2 linked regions of the Diceros bicornis minor genome follow. The protein of the gene in region 1 binds, or shares a complex with, the protein of each later gene. Links are inferred from orthologs where the notes say so. Each region holds a gene or a part of one and is shown on either strand. Other genes may lie near its edges.

Evidence for each region.
Region 2: the proteins of KLHL3 (region 1) and WNK3 are in contact, whole or in part, in a crystal structure (PDB 5NKP), measured with the Homo sapiens proteins. The link is inferred for Diceros bicornis minor from reciprocal best matches to the Homo sapiens genes KLHL3 and WNK3. Residues at the interface, in NP_059111.2 of Homo sapiens: Lys312, Arg339, Phe355, Gly357, Arg360, Thr386, Phe402, Gly404, Ser405, Gly407, Ser432, Ser433, Tyr449, Gly451, Arg454, Cys456, Ser481, His498, Arg528, Tyr577; in NP_065973.2 of Homo sapiens: Glu537, Cys538, Glu539, Glu540, Thr541, Glu542, Val543, Asp544, Gln545, His546.

What each region holds. Positions count from the first base shown.
Region 1 is NC_080740.1:56,373,264-56,380,516, reverse strand, and holds the start of KLHL3 (kelch-like protein 3), read left to right. Parts: upstream 1-4,028; 5' UTR 4,029-4,398; coding exon 4,399-4,412; intron 4,413-7,253. UniProt on the Homo sapiens protein: Substrate-specific adapter of a BCR (BTB-CUL3-RBX1) E3 ubiquitin ligase complex that acts as a regulator of ion transport in the distal nephron.
Region 2 is NC_080781.1:45,687,180-45,695,055, forward strand, and holds the start of WNK3 (serine/threonine-protein kinase WNK3), read left to right. Parts: upstream 1-4,632; 5' UTR 4,633-4,733; intron 4,734-4,862; exon of another isoform or gene 4,863-5,566; intron 5,567-5,692; exon of another isoform or gene 5,693-5,755; intron 5,756-7,876.

The sequences.
Region 1 (7,253 bases):
AGCAAACTGAACTCAACAAGACATTAAAAGGATCATACACTCCGATCAAGTGGGATTTATTCCAGGCATGCGAGGATGGTTCAACACCTGCAGATCAGTCAGTGTATTACACACATTAACAAAATGAAGGATAAAAATCATATGATCATCTCAGTAGCTACAGAAAAAGCATTTGACAAAATTCAACATCCATTTGTGATGAAAACTCTCAACAAAGTGGGTACAGAGTGAACATACCTCAACATAATAAAGGCCATGTATGACAAGCCCACAGCTAACATCATATTCAATGGTGAAAAGCTGAAAGCCTTTCCTCTAAGATCAGGAACAAGGCAAGAATGTCCACTCTTACCGCTTTTATTCAGTAATATTGGAAGTCCTAGGCAGATCAGTTAGGCAAGAAAAAGAAATAAAAGGCATCCGAATTAGAGAAGAAGTAAAATTGTCACTATTTTCAGATGACATGATATTATATATAGAAAACTAATTAGCGACTCCATCAAAAAACTGTTAGAACCAATAAATGAATTCAGAAGAATTGTAGGATATGAAGTAAGTACACAAAAATCTATTGCATTTCTATACACTTGACATTTAAAACAAGGATAATAGTATCTTCTTGCAGAGTTGTTGTGAGGATCAAATGAGAGAGGAACATGTAAACTCTTGAGTACAGAGTCTGGCCCAGAGCAAATAGTCAAGGGTTGGCAGCTGTTTTTACTATTCAGGGGTTGTTATCTTGAGTCAAAGGAGATGATGGATGTGAAACACTTTGTAAACTTTAAAGTGTAGCACAAGTGCCGTGGGTGATTATGCTCTTGAATCTGTTCAGGGCACAGTTTCTTCCACCATCAAGTTCCTTTTCAGTATCTGCTTGGCTTCCTGGGTTGGGGGTGCTCTAAGCAGTTGCAGGGAGAGTCTACTCATCAAGTGGTCCAGAATCTGAGAGGAAGTTTTGATGATACAGGTATGGGTAGGCCTTAATTTAGCTCTGGTCTTGCCTAGTTCTTGGTGGCCTGTTGGTAGTAGTGACCATTGGGGATGTGGAAATGGTTCCAGGGGAGGCCCAGGGCTGTGCTTCCTGGCACAAGGTACCTTGACTGACTTTCTTCTTGACCTCAGAGCCAAGGGCTCACAGAGCTATAGTTTGGTAGCATTGGCATTTATTGTAGTTAGTGCTGTGGAGTTGATTCCAGCAGAGCTGAACCCTGCCTGGTGTTTTTGCACCATCCTTTCACCTTCTGGTGCTATATCAGACAAGGCTCTACTGCTATTTATAGGGTTTTCATGGCCAATTTTTTGGAAGTGGGTGGCCAGGTCCTTCTTCCTAGTCTGCCTTAATCCGCTGAAACCTGTCCACCATGGGTGACCCTACTGGTATTTGAAATACCAGTGGCATAGCTTTAACATCACAGCAACATGCAGCTGCTGTAGTATGACAAATGACAGATGGGTGGTGTGATTCCCTGACCGGGAAATGAACCTGGGCCGTGGTGGTGAGAGCACCAAATCTTAACCACTAGACCACCAGGGCTGGCTAGCGTTGGCACAGGCGATGAAAATATCTGCTAATGGTTGTTGAGTGCTTATTACAGGCCAGGCTCTCTGCTAAGTGCTTTGTATACTTTCACATTGAAGTTTAACAACTCTGGGAGGTGGGTTCCATTATTATCTCCTTTTTACGGATGAGAAAATTGAGACCCTGTAAAGTAACTTGCCTAAGGTCATGTTTTTGATAAGTACATTTGGACGTTAGTCTGTCTGGTTCAAATGATCTGAACTCTTTTCATTGTTCTAAGTGATCTTTGCATTTAGCTGTGCATTAGAGTCACCTATGAAGTTCATTAAAATTCCTGCTCCTTGGGCCCTAATTCTATAGGTGTGAGGTGGAGCCTGGCCTTGTACAAACAGGTCCATTCTGTGGCCCAAAGGACGTTTGGATAATAAAGTAGAAAATGTAAAATGTAGCTCTGAAACTAGAGAAGATTAGGGTGGGAACTTTGTGCCAGGAGTCTGGAGACTTTGCTTCTTCGCTCAGCTCTGCCGCTTGTTTTGCTAAATGATCTTCTCTGAGTGTTTTCTGTTCTGTGTACCTCTCGTGGATAGATTAAGTGGTAAATAAAACGTGCAGGTGGTAGTACTATGGCTTCACGACATACGTTGTATTGACATTGGTTAGCATTGCAAAAGTAGATTGCGAAAGAAATTCTGTAAAGTTTTTATACTGGCTCTCAATAGTTGTATATTGAAACCTGAATATGCTCAGCCCTTAAGTATTTCCTCTTCTGACCTTTTCTTCTTTCTCTCTGGTTTGTTAGATATGACATTTCCCCCCTTTCCTGAAGTTGTGAATGAGCATATAAGTTGTGAGAGAGAGACTCATCTTATTCTTATGTCCCTTTATGAGTCACCCGGTTGTGTTCCTGGTGGATGTCTGCACTCTGGCATGGATTCGGGGATTTAGTTTCCTTATTTGTGATGTTCAGCTTCTCCTGGTCCCTGTGATTCACCTCAAGAGGAAATACCTGGAGCAGAGCCACAAGGCTGATGAGAGGAGGAAGGGACACAGAGGGAGAAAGATACGAGGGGTATTGCTGTGAAACGCAGAAGTGGTGATACAGGGCTGTAGGGTATAAGTAAAATCACCCAGGCCTCTCACTTGAGAAAGAGCCAGTTTGGGCAATGGCCTCATCTAAGAGGACACTGAGGTGTCAGGAGAGATAATCTTTGAGAACAACCTTTAGCCAGTTTGAGTTCAGGAGGCTATATAATGTTTAAGTTACTCTTAATTTCTATTACCTCAATGTCCCACCCTCCCCTCCTTTGGTTTCAGGGCTTTTTCAGTGAAGAAACTTAACAGGTCAAAATTATAACAGTAATAGATTTACTGAGCGTCTCTCATACTTTCACATACATCAGGTTATTCTCCCTGAAGCTCTACAACACATTAGAGTCCAGTAAAAATTTCTTCTTAAACAATCTTACAGATTACTTTAATGAGAAGAAAAATGGAACATTTAAGACATTTTTTAGAATCATGTGTTTTTAGAGCTGAAGGGACTCTCGAGATCGTATGGTCTGACCCTATCTTATGGATGAGGAACTGAGGTCCAGAGTGTGGAAAAGACTTGTTGAGAGTCACTCAGCTGGCTGGTGGTGGTATGGATTCTGAAAAGCACAGGTGTGACATGGAGAGTTCCCAGAAGAGAGATGCTCATGTATGATTTTTCTGAGGTATTAAGGAAGCTTCGGAGCCCGTTTTTGTGGCTAAACAATCACCAGTGACTGATTGCCCCAATTACCTCTAAGCCTCCTGGCCGTGGCTGGGAGACACAGACTGGCCTTCTGCCTTCTCCCAGATTGTGTTTTAGAGTGAAGTTAGTCTAAATTGAGGCTGAGCAGCTGGAGATTACAGGGTGCAAGAGATCTTTGGCTGAAGATGGGGGTTCGTTGGGAGACTTGCTAGTTGGAGCCACAGCTTAAGACAAATTTCAATATGACAGGCTTTAAAAGGAAAATATTAGCGTTGTGCTATGAGATTTGTGGTCTTTCAATATGGCCTAGGGAAGTAAACATATGCAGTATTCATTGTAATGGCTTTACTGCAGTGGTCTTTGGCCTGTTGCAGTGAAATAGGGTTGTTCAGTTTCACCTATTTCTACCAGTTCCCTTTTTCTAATTTCTCTCTGCATTCTTCTCAGTTCTATCAGACTCTTTCCCCCTGACTTATCTCCATCTATCAGACTCTCAGAGCTACTGTAGATTTTGGGAGGAGGGATTGGAACATGAGCTGTGACCTGCAAGTCAATTTCCCCAGGTGGATAAACTCCACTGCAAGCCACAGAGGGGCCTCCTCATTCCAGCAATCTGGCCAGGCTGACAGGCTCATAGCCTATGGGGACAGAGGCGGGGGTGGGGGCCAGTATTTCTTGGGCTGGTGAGGAACTCCCTGAGCTTTTACAGTCTGGGCAGAGGAGGTGGGAGGCCCTGGGGTGGTCTGGTCGCCTGTGCTGGGAATGCCTGGACAGATGTGGAAGCAGCTGGAAAGGTGGCACCGTACTTGGGTCGCTAGAGCTGCGCTGTTCCTAGGAGACGGAGGAGCAGTGAGCCTGTGGGGGAGGGGGAGCAAGTGGGTTGCTGCTTTTAGCAGCTGAAAGGGCTGCAGGGAGCTCTGGGTAAGACATTTTCTGCTGCTGCTGCTGCTGCTTCTGCGTTAGAAGCTGCCGCGAGTAAGTCAGAGGAAGGAGGACCGAGAGGGAGGAGGCTTCGTCTGCAGCCATGCTGAATCACTGTTGCTGATCAGATCTCCCGCTAGTTGGCTGGGAAAACCGAGAGCAGAGCTAGGATCCCCGGTGCGTGCACATTTCAGCAGCTGCCACCCCAGCTGGGCCTCGCACAATGGAGGGTGAGAGGTATGTATGTATAAGTATGTGTGTGTGTGTGTGTGTGTGTGTGTGTGTGTAAGTGAATGTGTGCTCGGGGTGCAGCTACCAGCTTTTGTGCTTGTGCTGGTTAGGCAAGATTGGAAGGTCTGGCCACTGATGAATCCTAACGGGCGGCAGAGTCAGACAGAGAAGGCAAGCCCCTTTCTCCAGAGATCTGGCTTCTGCAAGGGCAGATCTGGGTTTGCTGGGCAGCTGAAAGAAGGGCTTTCCTGGCTGGTATTTGGGAGTAGTTTCAGCAAAGGCTGAATCAGGATTGCCTTTCTTAGGCTGTTTCAAGGAGGTGTTTCCCCTTTGCTGGTTACTGTCTCTGGGGTGGTTTTTCTTGTTGGGGGAGTTTGATGTTATAGCAGGGTTGGCCTGGCATAGAGTGCTTGCATTTTCCCACTAAAGTGCTCAGATTTTCAGTAAGCGTGCCATGCTGATGTCTTTCCTAAAAGTGTGTGTGTATGCATGTATGTGTGCCTGTATACACACACAAGTTCAAGTAAGAAGGAGAAAAACTCATTCAGATGACACTTGCTCTGAACTGACTTTCATTTGAATTGAAAAGTTTGTGAATGATACTGGAAGGTGTGTGTTTTAGAGGAACTCTTGCTCCTTCCGTCAGGGGTTTCTTAGGAAATAGGAATCAACAGAAGGGAATTTAAGTACTTCTGTTGACCTGGATCTAACCAGTGAGGGTTTGTTTCCTGGCAGGTGCATACATATAAATTTTAAACTATTATCTGAAGATCTGATTCTTTCATTGTGAAGGTGCTCACTGCGGTTCAGGGGCCGGTTATTCCTCTGTCTGTGTGCTAAAACATCTCCTCATGTTGTGCCAGCCTTTTCAGTATGTGGGTCTGCAGTTGGTAGAGAACCAGGCTTGCCATTTTCCTTGAGGTGAGAAGAATGCAGGGAGGGGTCAGGCCATGGCAGTGGACCACTGAGGGGAGGGCTGCTGCTCTGAGTTGCCAGTTTGATGCAGATGGTAACTGGCTGGTTAAATGATAACAGATTCAACTAAATCAATACTCTCTGGAGAGTACCTCAAAACACTTTCCTTTGTATGGATTGTCCCAACTCTTGCATCGCATGGGACAGAGTGATGTCATTAAACATATCTAGACCCCATTAGAACTGGCATGATTGTTGGGTGGCTTCTTGTCTGAAGAGGACCCAGGGACTGTGTTTCTTGATGTGATTCCCTCCAGAAGAGTCTGGGATTTTTTAGACTGAGTATGCTGCCGATACAACTTCTCCCTGTGTGTTCTTTGCAACAGGAGCTTAGTGTTGGACTCCTTGTGGCCTCTGGGCAACAGAACGTCTGAAAGCCTGTTCCATAGGCTTGGGGCAGAGGTGGGCAGTGTCCTCACCTTCTCCTCTTGGGGTCTGGTAGCCAGCAGAAGGGCAGGGGTGATGTGAATCAAGGTATTTGCTTGACCCGTGGCATATTGGGGCTGAAAGGTCCATGTGAGACTAGCAGCAGCTGATCAAAGTGCTGCTTCCCAAGCATTTTGGGGCATCTGCTGTGTTCCCAGACCTGTGTTCAGAAATGTATCAGTCCTTGCCCCCAAGGAGCTCTCTTGTTCTTCAACACGCTGGTTCCTCTCAGCTGGGATGGCTGATGCCTTCGGTTTTATGACACCTGTTTCTTGCACTTGTTCTTTTGCTTTTCCCCTACTAGAGGCAGAGAATAGGCAAGAAATCCAAACTGAGCAGCTTCCAGCGTTCACCAGGTCACCCAGCTCATTCCCTTTTGTTCCCTCTCCAAGTCCAGCTTACCATGCCAGGCATTCAAGTCTTCTGAAACCTGGCTGCAGTCTCCATTCCCAGTGCCTGTACCCCTGCCAAGAGATCTGTTGGTCTCTTTTGTGATTATCCATCCTGTATACTACTACATCCAGCTGCAGATCCTTAGCTCTCAGAGTTCCTTTTGCCTGGAATGCCTTTCCTTTCCTCTTTCCCAAAAGTTATCTGTCTATCAAGGCTGTTTTAAAATTCCACTTTGTCTTGGGAAACTTAGCTTTTCTTGTCCTGGCTGATGTTCGTCCCAATTCCAGTACCTCTAGTTTGTATCTCATAGTTGGGTACTGAATAATAGGCCTACTCACTAAATCTTTTTGTGCTTTTGTTGATATATCTTACAAGTCCCCAAACTTGGAGACAGGTCCTCAAGGGCAAGGACGGTGCCGGTACCTCTGAATACTCCTCATTGACTACTGTGTGTCTGCATGCATAGTAGGTACTGGGTAATTATTTGCTGATTAGCTGATAACTTTTGTGGGAAGCTCTGATAACTAAAAAGAAAGTTGGTGAGAGAGGAAATTGTAACCTTTGGTCAGTAGGTTCATCCTTGGATATCGGCCTTATTACCTCGGCATGGGTAATTGACCCCATGGAATGCTTTGAGGTAGGGGGAGAACAGGGGGAAGTAGCCTTGTTTTACAAGTTCCCTGGGAAACCTAGAGCCAGAGAAGTGAGTGACTGGCCTGGGATCACATGTCAAACCTCCAGAGACTGGAGGGATCCTGAATCTGGGGCTTGTTCCACACTTAACCCACTGAAGCTTAATTGGGGCTGTTTTTAAGCATTAAAAATTTTCAGCCAAGAGATTTCTAATGAATAATTTTCTTTCTTTGCCATGAGGGTATGAAAATAACTTCTGCCTTGAAAGGCTGTTAATTGAAGGCATGGGCTTTGGAGAAACATAGACCTTGCAATGAATCTGCTTCATAAACTGTGTGACCTTGAGTGTGTCATATTTTTTTCAGAACTAATTTTTCTTTATGGTATAAAGGGAGTAATAACAGTACCTATACCTCATAG
Region 2 (7,876 bases), on another chromosome or scaffold:
AGAGGCAATGGACCTCTGACTGCTAAGTTGTGTTGCCTGATGACCAAGGACTTAAGGAACTTCCACTCCCAGGCCTCAGCACTGTGTAATAGCCCAGAACTGTGGCATGAGCCCGGGGTGGAGGAATGTCAAGAAGAATTGAGGTTATTTTACCAGCCCCATGGAATGAGGGGCTTGGAGTCTAAAATTAAGTGGAATCACAGACAATAAAGAAAGATACAACAAAATTATTATGAGCCTGAACTCTGAACTAAACTAACTGGGTTCAAATATAGCTCTGCCATTTACTTGCTGTGTTACCCTGGGCAAGTTATTTGACCTCTTTGTGCCTTGGTTTACTAATTTGAAAAATGGTGTTAATAATGGCACTTACCCCATAGGATTCAATGGGTTTGTATAAAGCACATAGTAAATGTTATTTCATTTACATAGTAAATTATTTACATAGTAAATAATATTAGCTATTATTATTATTATTATTATACTTCTTAGTGGTAGACTCTGATTCATTCCTGCTACATGAAGGATTTGTAACAAGATTGCTTTGAAAAACTATTATGGAATGTTGGAACAGATACAGAAGAGTCAGTTGAAGGGAAGGAGGGAGGGAGAAAAGGAGAGAGGAAGGAAAGGCAGACAGGCAAATGCAGCCTTGTTAGCCCAGGAGACTGAATTCTCTGATTCCCAGAAGAATACACTATGTTAGACTATACATATCTAAAAGAACTGATCTTCTTCTGGAGAAGGAAAAGGCTGTTCCAGCAACTCCAACTCAGGTTCTGTATCCTGTCCACATGGGGACTTTGCAGAAGAGTTGAGATTCCAGACACTTACCAAGTTTTAGAGAAGTGATGTGGGCTTACTCTTTTTTTAGGTTCTCCAAGAGTCAGTTGCCAAGGCAAAGGCACTTACCTTAAATTTGCCCCCTGATATATGGCCTAGGTCACATGAGGAAAGACTGTCTGTAGGAAGAGGAGATCAGATTCTATAGTAAGGCTCGAGAAATTGCACTGTCCAATCTGAAAGGTGGAGTGTTTCCAAGTCAGTCATTAAACCAAAGATAGCTGTTCATTTCTGAGGTAGGTGATGCTTATTCTTACTCAGGAGACACTCACCTCGTGCTGCGAGGAAAGAGAGCCTCCTGGGAGGACATTAACAGGTGAGAAATTTCCCCAGTGCCCTGGGAGTTACTGTCTTGAGCAGGGGGCATCTGGATGGGAAGTAAATTTTCTTTGCTGAGATGCTAAGATTTAATAGATGGAGAATGTGGCTGCAATATTATTTTGAGATATAAATGGATTTTTTTCTTTCCTGTATTTTTCCCCTTTTGTCTGCCTGCTCCCCTTTCCCTACTCCGCAACAAAGTAGTCAGCTTTGTGGTGTATCTAAGGGGAGTGAGGTGGCAAGGCAGGAAAACAAATACTCTGCCAGTTTCTCTGGTTTTTGTGTTCAAAAAGTGTAAGTACTAGGGAAGGGGGATTAGGGTTCAGGAGCAGAGACAAAGTATCTGGGCCAGAAAACTAGAAGGAAGAAAGATTTGCATAAGCCTAAAAAAAGATTCTTCTCTTCCTCACTCCCCTCTCGCTGCGGGGAAGAGGCAGAGAGAGCTCTGTGGAAGCTCAAGCAGCATATACTCCCAGAAACAACGCTTGGTTGGCAGGAAGATTCAAGAGAGGAAGGGCTGTGTGGAATGTCTAGGTAGATGGACGAACAGGTAACCTTGGCAATGAGTTCTGTGCCTCCACTGTGGCAGAGATGTTGGAGAGGACAACAGCACTTGAAAAGATCCATGTGGGCAGAGGGCTCAGCAGTAACTGACAGGATCTAAGGACCTAGAAGCATATAACTGTATTCTGCCCCCACTCTCCACCCCCATGCCTGGGTACTACATAAGATCCCCAAACTGTGGCATCACCTGGGATAAGGAAAAAGAACATCAAGAATGACTTATATTGTTTTCCCAATAACCTGGTAAAAGGAGGGCTCAGGGTCAGAAACTGAGTTTCAGAAATAATCACAACTCTACCCATGGCTGTAGTAGTCAGCTAACTGTAAACTTGGAGGTTCATCTTGGTTCCACCTTGTTGACTGAAGGAGTTGCCATCCTGTGTGGTAGGGAGGAGATCTGCATCCCCATCTGCTGGGATGCTGGGGTCTAAAAATGGTTCCAATGAAGGCTTTTGTAATTTCTTGGTACCAGAGCCTTCAGATAAGATGAACTAGATTATTGGAAGGATGTTTTCCTGGAATAATGTAAAGCCAAATTATAAGTGGCTAATATAAGTCAAGGGGCCGGCCCCGTGGCTTAGTGGTTAAGTGCATGTGCTCCGCTACTGGTGGCCCGGGTTCGGATCCCGGGCGCGCACCGACGCACTGCTTGTCTGGCCATGCTGAGGCGGCATCCCACATACAGCAACTAGAAGGATGTGCAACTATGACATACAACTATCTGGGGTTTTGGAGAAGTAAAGGAGGAGGATTGGCAATAGATGTTAGCTCAGAGCCAGTCTTCCTCAGCAAAAAGAGGAGGATTGGCATGGATGTTAGCTCAGGGCTGATCTTCCTCACACACACACACACAAAAAAGTCAAATTTTCTATTTGATGTATAGAAACATCACAAGTGCCACTTGAAAGTCAGTGGAAATGAGTAGGAATGTTCTCTGCCACCCATTATTGACTAGCTATAATTGCCCAATCCCCTTTGTGCCTATAGTGGCATTTGTGCTGAGTTATGGACAGGTTGCTTCAAACAGAAGAGCACAGACATCAATAAAAGGCCTAAATTGAGAAGGGCCTGTACTTGGACGGGGTACACACCTGTTTGATTTTCTAATTTCTGAAGTTTGTAAAAGTTACACTACTTTATAGTTATTTAGCAAATGTCAAAAAGGGACTTCTTGAAAGGGTTCACATCTGAGCGGGTTGAAGGGCTAACATTTCCACATATTGTTCTGTGTTGATTACATCATCAGGCTCAGAGATGAAGTAGGAGGAGCAGGCTACAACGGAGGAAGGTACCTATTGATTTTCCTTAAGGTGGATGTGTATGGTGGTGGTGCGAGTAGGGTGATATTGAAAAATAAAAATGGTGGGCACAAGTTTCTCCTTACCATCTCAGTGGGAGTTAGGACCTACAAAAACTTGGAACAACTTGGTAACCTTTGAAACTGCCCTTTGGTGGTTATCTGGCTATGCTTCCTCTTTTCCTCAAAGTAGTCAACAATTCAACAGGGGAAAGGGATTATCTTCAAGGGCAGTGAGGAAAGAAGGAGTTTGGGAGACCCCATCCATTCTGCAGCTAATTTGGAATGCAGAGAACTTTAAGGTAGAGTGTTTGCACTATTTGGAGACATTACACCTTGCTCCTCCAAATTTACCCAGGAAGGAAGATCTCTACAGGTAAAATAGCTGGACCTCATAGCCCCGAATTTCATTTCCTCAGTCTCCCTCCATTGTCAAAATTGGAAGATGGGGGTTTAAATTTATTAAGGGCATGGTCTGGTTTCCTTACATGTTCTGGAAATACTCGGATTAATAAGCAACATTCAAGAGGAAAGGTGCAGAGACAAGAAACAAGGCTACGATGCCTCCCACCATTCCACTCCATTTGGACTCAGGAAACCTCAGAGTTAAATTTACTGATGGTTTTTTAAAGAGCTGAAAAAGGCCGAGGTTCCGAGGCCTACAGAAGGAAAAGAAAAAAGCAAGTGGTGGACAGAAGAGAGATTGGTATAACTCAGTGATAGAGCCCTGAGGTTGGGCATTTTCCACACAGCCGCCTACCCTCAAGGCATCCTGCTAAGGCTTCAGGGGCATTCGGAAAGAAATCCCACCCTTTAGGAGCTTTCATTCAGGGGCTGTGACACCAGATGCAGCTTAGGGGAGTGAAAAATGCATGGGCTCTGGAGTGATCACACGTGGGTTCAAGTTCTGACTCCTCCATACATAGTTGTGTGAACTTGAGCAAGTCATGTCCATTTTCCCTGGCTGAGCCTCAGTTTCCTCCCCTGTGGAGCCAGGATTGTTCATGTGAGAACGACAGAAACAATTCTACGGTACTACGCCTGATACCGTGCACGAAACAGTTCTTAAATAAAGCCGCTGCGCGGAGGTTAACATGTAGTGAAAGCTCGAAGGAGATAGCAGTCACTACCCACTACCAATTGGAGAATCTGAGAGACGGACGGTAGGAGATGCTGAGAGCCAGCCCCAGGGGTAGGTGGCCTTTCCGCATGCGCGCAGTCTAGGAGCCTGGCGGAGCAGCGAGGGGGCGTGGCCAGGTTTCTGAAGGCGTTGCTATGGCACCGAGGGGCCAGGGGAGGTTAACTGAACTCTTAAAACATAACTGCCTCCCCCACCCGCCACCGCTCGGGCCGAGGGCCATTGTTCCCGGTAAAATGGCGTCGGTAATCCCCCTCCCGGCCTGAGGCCTAACTAAGACTGAGGGTGGGAGTGGGACTGAAGGTGGGAACAAAAACTACAATTCCCAGGGTACTCCGGACCCGCCCGCGAGGCGCTGGGCACGTGCCCAGGCCTAGCGCTTACATGCGGTCAAAAATCCGTTTCACAGCTTCCCTTTCCCATCCTCGCTTTCGTTGTTGCCCAGCCCCTGCGCGCGCGCACTGCGGTCGGGGGTGGGGGGGAACATGCCGTGGCCGTTGCCCTCGCAACGTAGCCAGGAGGCCGGTATTTGTAAATCTGTGCTTCGACTTCTAATCCCGAAGCCGGCAGGTATGGGTCTCGCGAGAAAAGCCGGGAGTTGGAAAAAGGGAGTTCGGGGTAGCGGGCGAAAAGGTGTCGGCGGGTACCACATCTCAGGAGAGCTACCCGCATTTAGAGGCTGGCAGAGAACTGAGAGTGGGCGGTGGGTGGCTAGGAAGTAGTGTGTGCTTGGACTTTGTAATTTCTTTTTTGGAGGGGAGAGGGTAAAGGAGCCGTAGAGAGAGCGCTTTTGAACACACAGGAGGGGCCCCCTTGCTTCCTGAGATTTTCTTTTTTGGAAAGGAGAGAAGCCTTTCTCCTCGACGCGCATCCCTCTCCCGCCGCGTTCAAGAGGGCGGGGGAGGAGTGAGCACGCTTTAGTTGGCTAGCCACTCGGCACCTCGCAGCGATAGGGGCCGTTCAGAGTTGGGGCTGCTCCGTCGGCTTTCTCCGCCCCTCCCCCTCTCCTTCCCTCCCCTCCCTTCCCTGTCCCCCTCTGCCCCCCTCTTTCCATCTGAATTCCCTGGCTGGAGTACGCGTGCGCCTGCTCAGCTCCCGGGCGAGCGCGAGCTTGGGCTCGTACCCCACTCCCTTAACCCCGCCCGCTCTTCACCTACCGGCCGTAGCTGGCCCGGTGGGCTCGCGGGGAGACGCTCGCGCGCTCACGCGCACACAACGCGGAGCTGAGCTCGAGCCATCGAGGAGGGGCGTAAGAAGCATCGGTGGAGGCGATAGAGGAGGAGGCGGTGTGTGTGTATGTGTGTGTTCTACGGTGTGCCTCGTCGAGGGGCAAGTCAAGGCTTGAAAGAGGGCGAGGGAGACGCGAAAAGAGTCAGTCTCCCTCCGCGAGAGCCTCAAATCTGGTGAGGGTCCCGGGCCGGCCGGGGCGCTGGGAGAGAGGGAGGAGGCCGGGGGGCGTGTCTGGGATCGGGCTGAGAGATGAATGGGCCGAGGATGAATGGAGGGAGGCAGCGGCGGCCAAGAGTCTTTTCGGAGTAAGCGCCCTAGTGGAGGCTGCTTGACCGAGGCAGGGTGATTGCCTTCACCAAGAGGTATGGGACGAGGCCAGGCTCGGGTCTTCAGGGTTATCGGAGCTGCTGTCGGTGTGAGCGAACAGGCGGAGAGGAAAATTCAGAGAGGAAAGTGGGGAAAGGCAGGTTTGAGGTTGAGGTGCGTTTTTTGTCTTTTCTTTTTCGTTTTTGTTAGGGGCTGGCAACTTTGGGAGTTGATGGAAGACTAGGGGACGGGGAAGGTGAGGAGAATACATGAGGGGGGCGGGAGACGGTTGACAAAGGACTGAGTGATCTTATTTAAGAGAGATTGAGGCTACTGAAAGGGGAGATCGCTTCGGGTGTGGGAAGTTGAGTTTCAGTGGGTAATGGAGTGGGGGAAAGTGGATTTCATTTGGAGATTCGGTTGGTGTGTGAAGGTCGATAGGACTGGGTCGGGGTGAGGGATATTGCTGGCTAGTTGTGTAAATGGGTTAGGTTCAAGGAGATTGAGAGTTGTTATTTGAGAACGGGTGGTGTGTTCTGTGACCGACAGGTTGGTGATGGGGAGGAGATGGTATGATGGGGTTAGGATAAAAGTGGTGAAGTGGCTTCACTGTACTGAAAGAGAGTTTTTTTGACTAGTTTGAGTGGTGAAACATTTATGTAGTGGGATGTGAGTGGAAATCCTGCACGTGTTTGTCTCCGTATCTTGGGAGTTGATAGATCTTGTTAAAATGAAATTGAACCCTCAAAACAAATGCGAGTGGTATGGCTATTCCTTCTTGAGAGTTACCGTTGATTGAAGCAATTATATGAATAAATAGTCATGGAGGTTTGAAAATCTGTATAGTAGTGATTGCATCCAATTTTGGGAGGCATTGTTACCTGTTTTTCATCTATAGTAAGTTGTAATACCAAGAGAACTTTTGAAGAGGTCTTGATATATGACACAGAACAGCAAGTGTCTTCTAGACAGTTTCTATCCTCTGGATTGAGTTTAAAAATTGTGTAAAATCAACAGTCCAAAGGAAAGATTTTTTGCATTAAAGGATAGCTAAAATGCGCTAAAGCTGATTTTGAGCGCTAAAATAATTATACATGATTTTTTTAGTCATTCTGAATTTACCTTGTTTGAAAATTGGCACTTGCTTTTTAGTGTGAGTTTAAATTACAGCAGATTACTTGGACATTTTGTTCTCTGAATACATTACTTATCTTCTGGTAAGGATATCTTGTGATGGTCTCAATCTGTTCTGGGTCAAGATTAATAGTTTATGGATTTTTAACTTTTATGATTACGTTTTACAGACTTTACTGACATATATTCATTTATCTTGGAAAAGTTGCAAATTTGGGAACATTCCCATGCCCTTTTTCTTTTATTCTGCTTTGATGTTGGAAAGAGTGTAATCCTTGTTTTGGCTACCCAGAGTTTAAATACAAAAGTTAATACTATGTTCATATTCTCTTAGATTAAGATGAATACTTAGTGTATTAAGTAGTAGCACAGAAGTATAAAAGCACCATGAGAGCCTGGAAATGTTGCCCCAACTCTGGCAGGCAGGGTAGTCTCCCAGTTTTGAACTAGATGTTCCTGGAGTGGAAGAACATTCAAGTATTGAGGCTGGAAAGCATAAGCATGGTATATTTGGGGAGTGGAATGAGATGAGGCTGGAATCTTTGAGGCAGGAGTGAAGGACTCCTCTGCAGAGTTAGGAGCCCTTGACTGTTTAAGAAGGGGAATAACAAACAGATTTGTGGTGTTCATCTCTCTGCCTTTGCTTCTGATGCCCCGGGCCCGGCAACCTGCAGTGCTGTCTCTCTCCCCCTCCCTTTGAATTTGCACTCATTCTTTTTAGACTAACCTCTGTTGTTAGCTATTCCTGAAAGCCTTTCCTGATGCCCTGGGCCCCGGAACCTGGAATGCTCTCTCTTTCCCCTTCCCTTTGAATTTGCACTCATTCTTTTTAGACTAACCTCTGTTATTAGCTATTCCTGAAGGCCTTTCCTGCTCCCCCTTTTCCTTTTCCTAGCATCCTCCACCAAACTAGGTTAGGTGCCCCTCTTTAGTGGTCCCATCATACCTTGTACATATTTTTATTACTGTACTTCTGTTGGGAGGCAGGCGGGAAAGTTATTTTACTTTTTACATCTGAGAGTAAATAAAGCTCAGAAAAATAA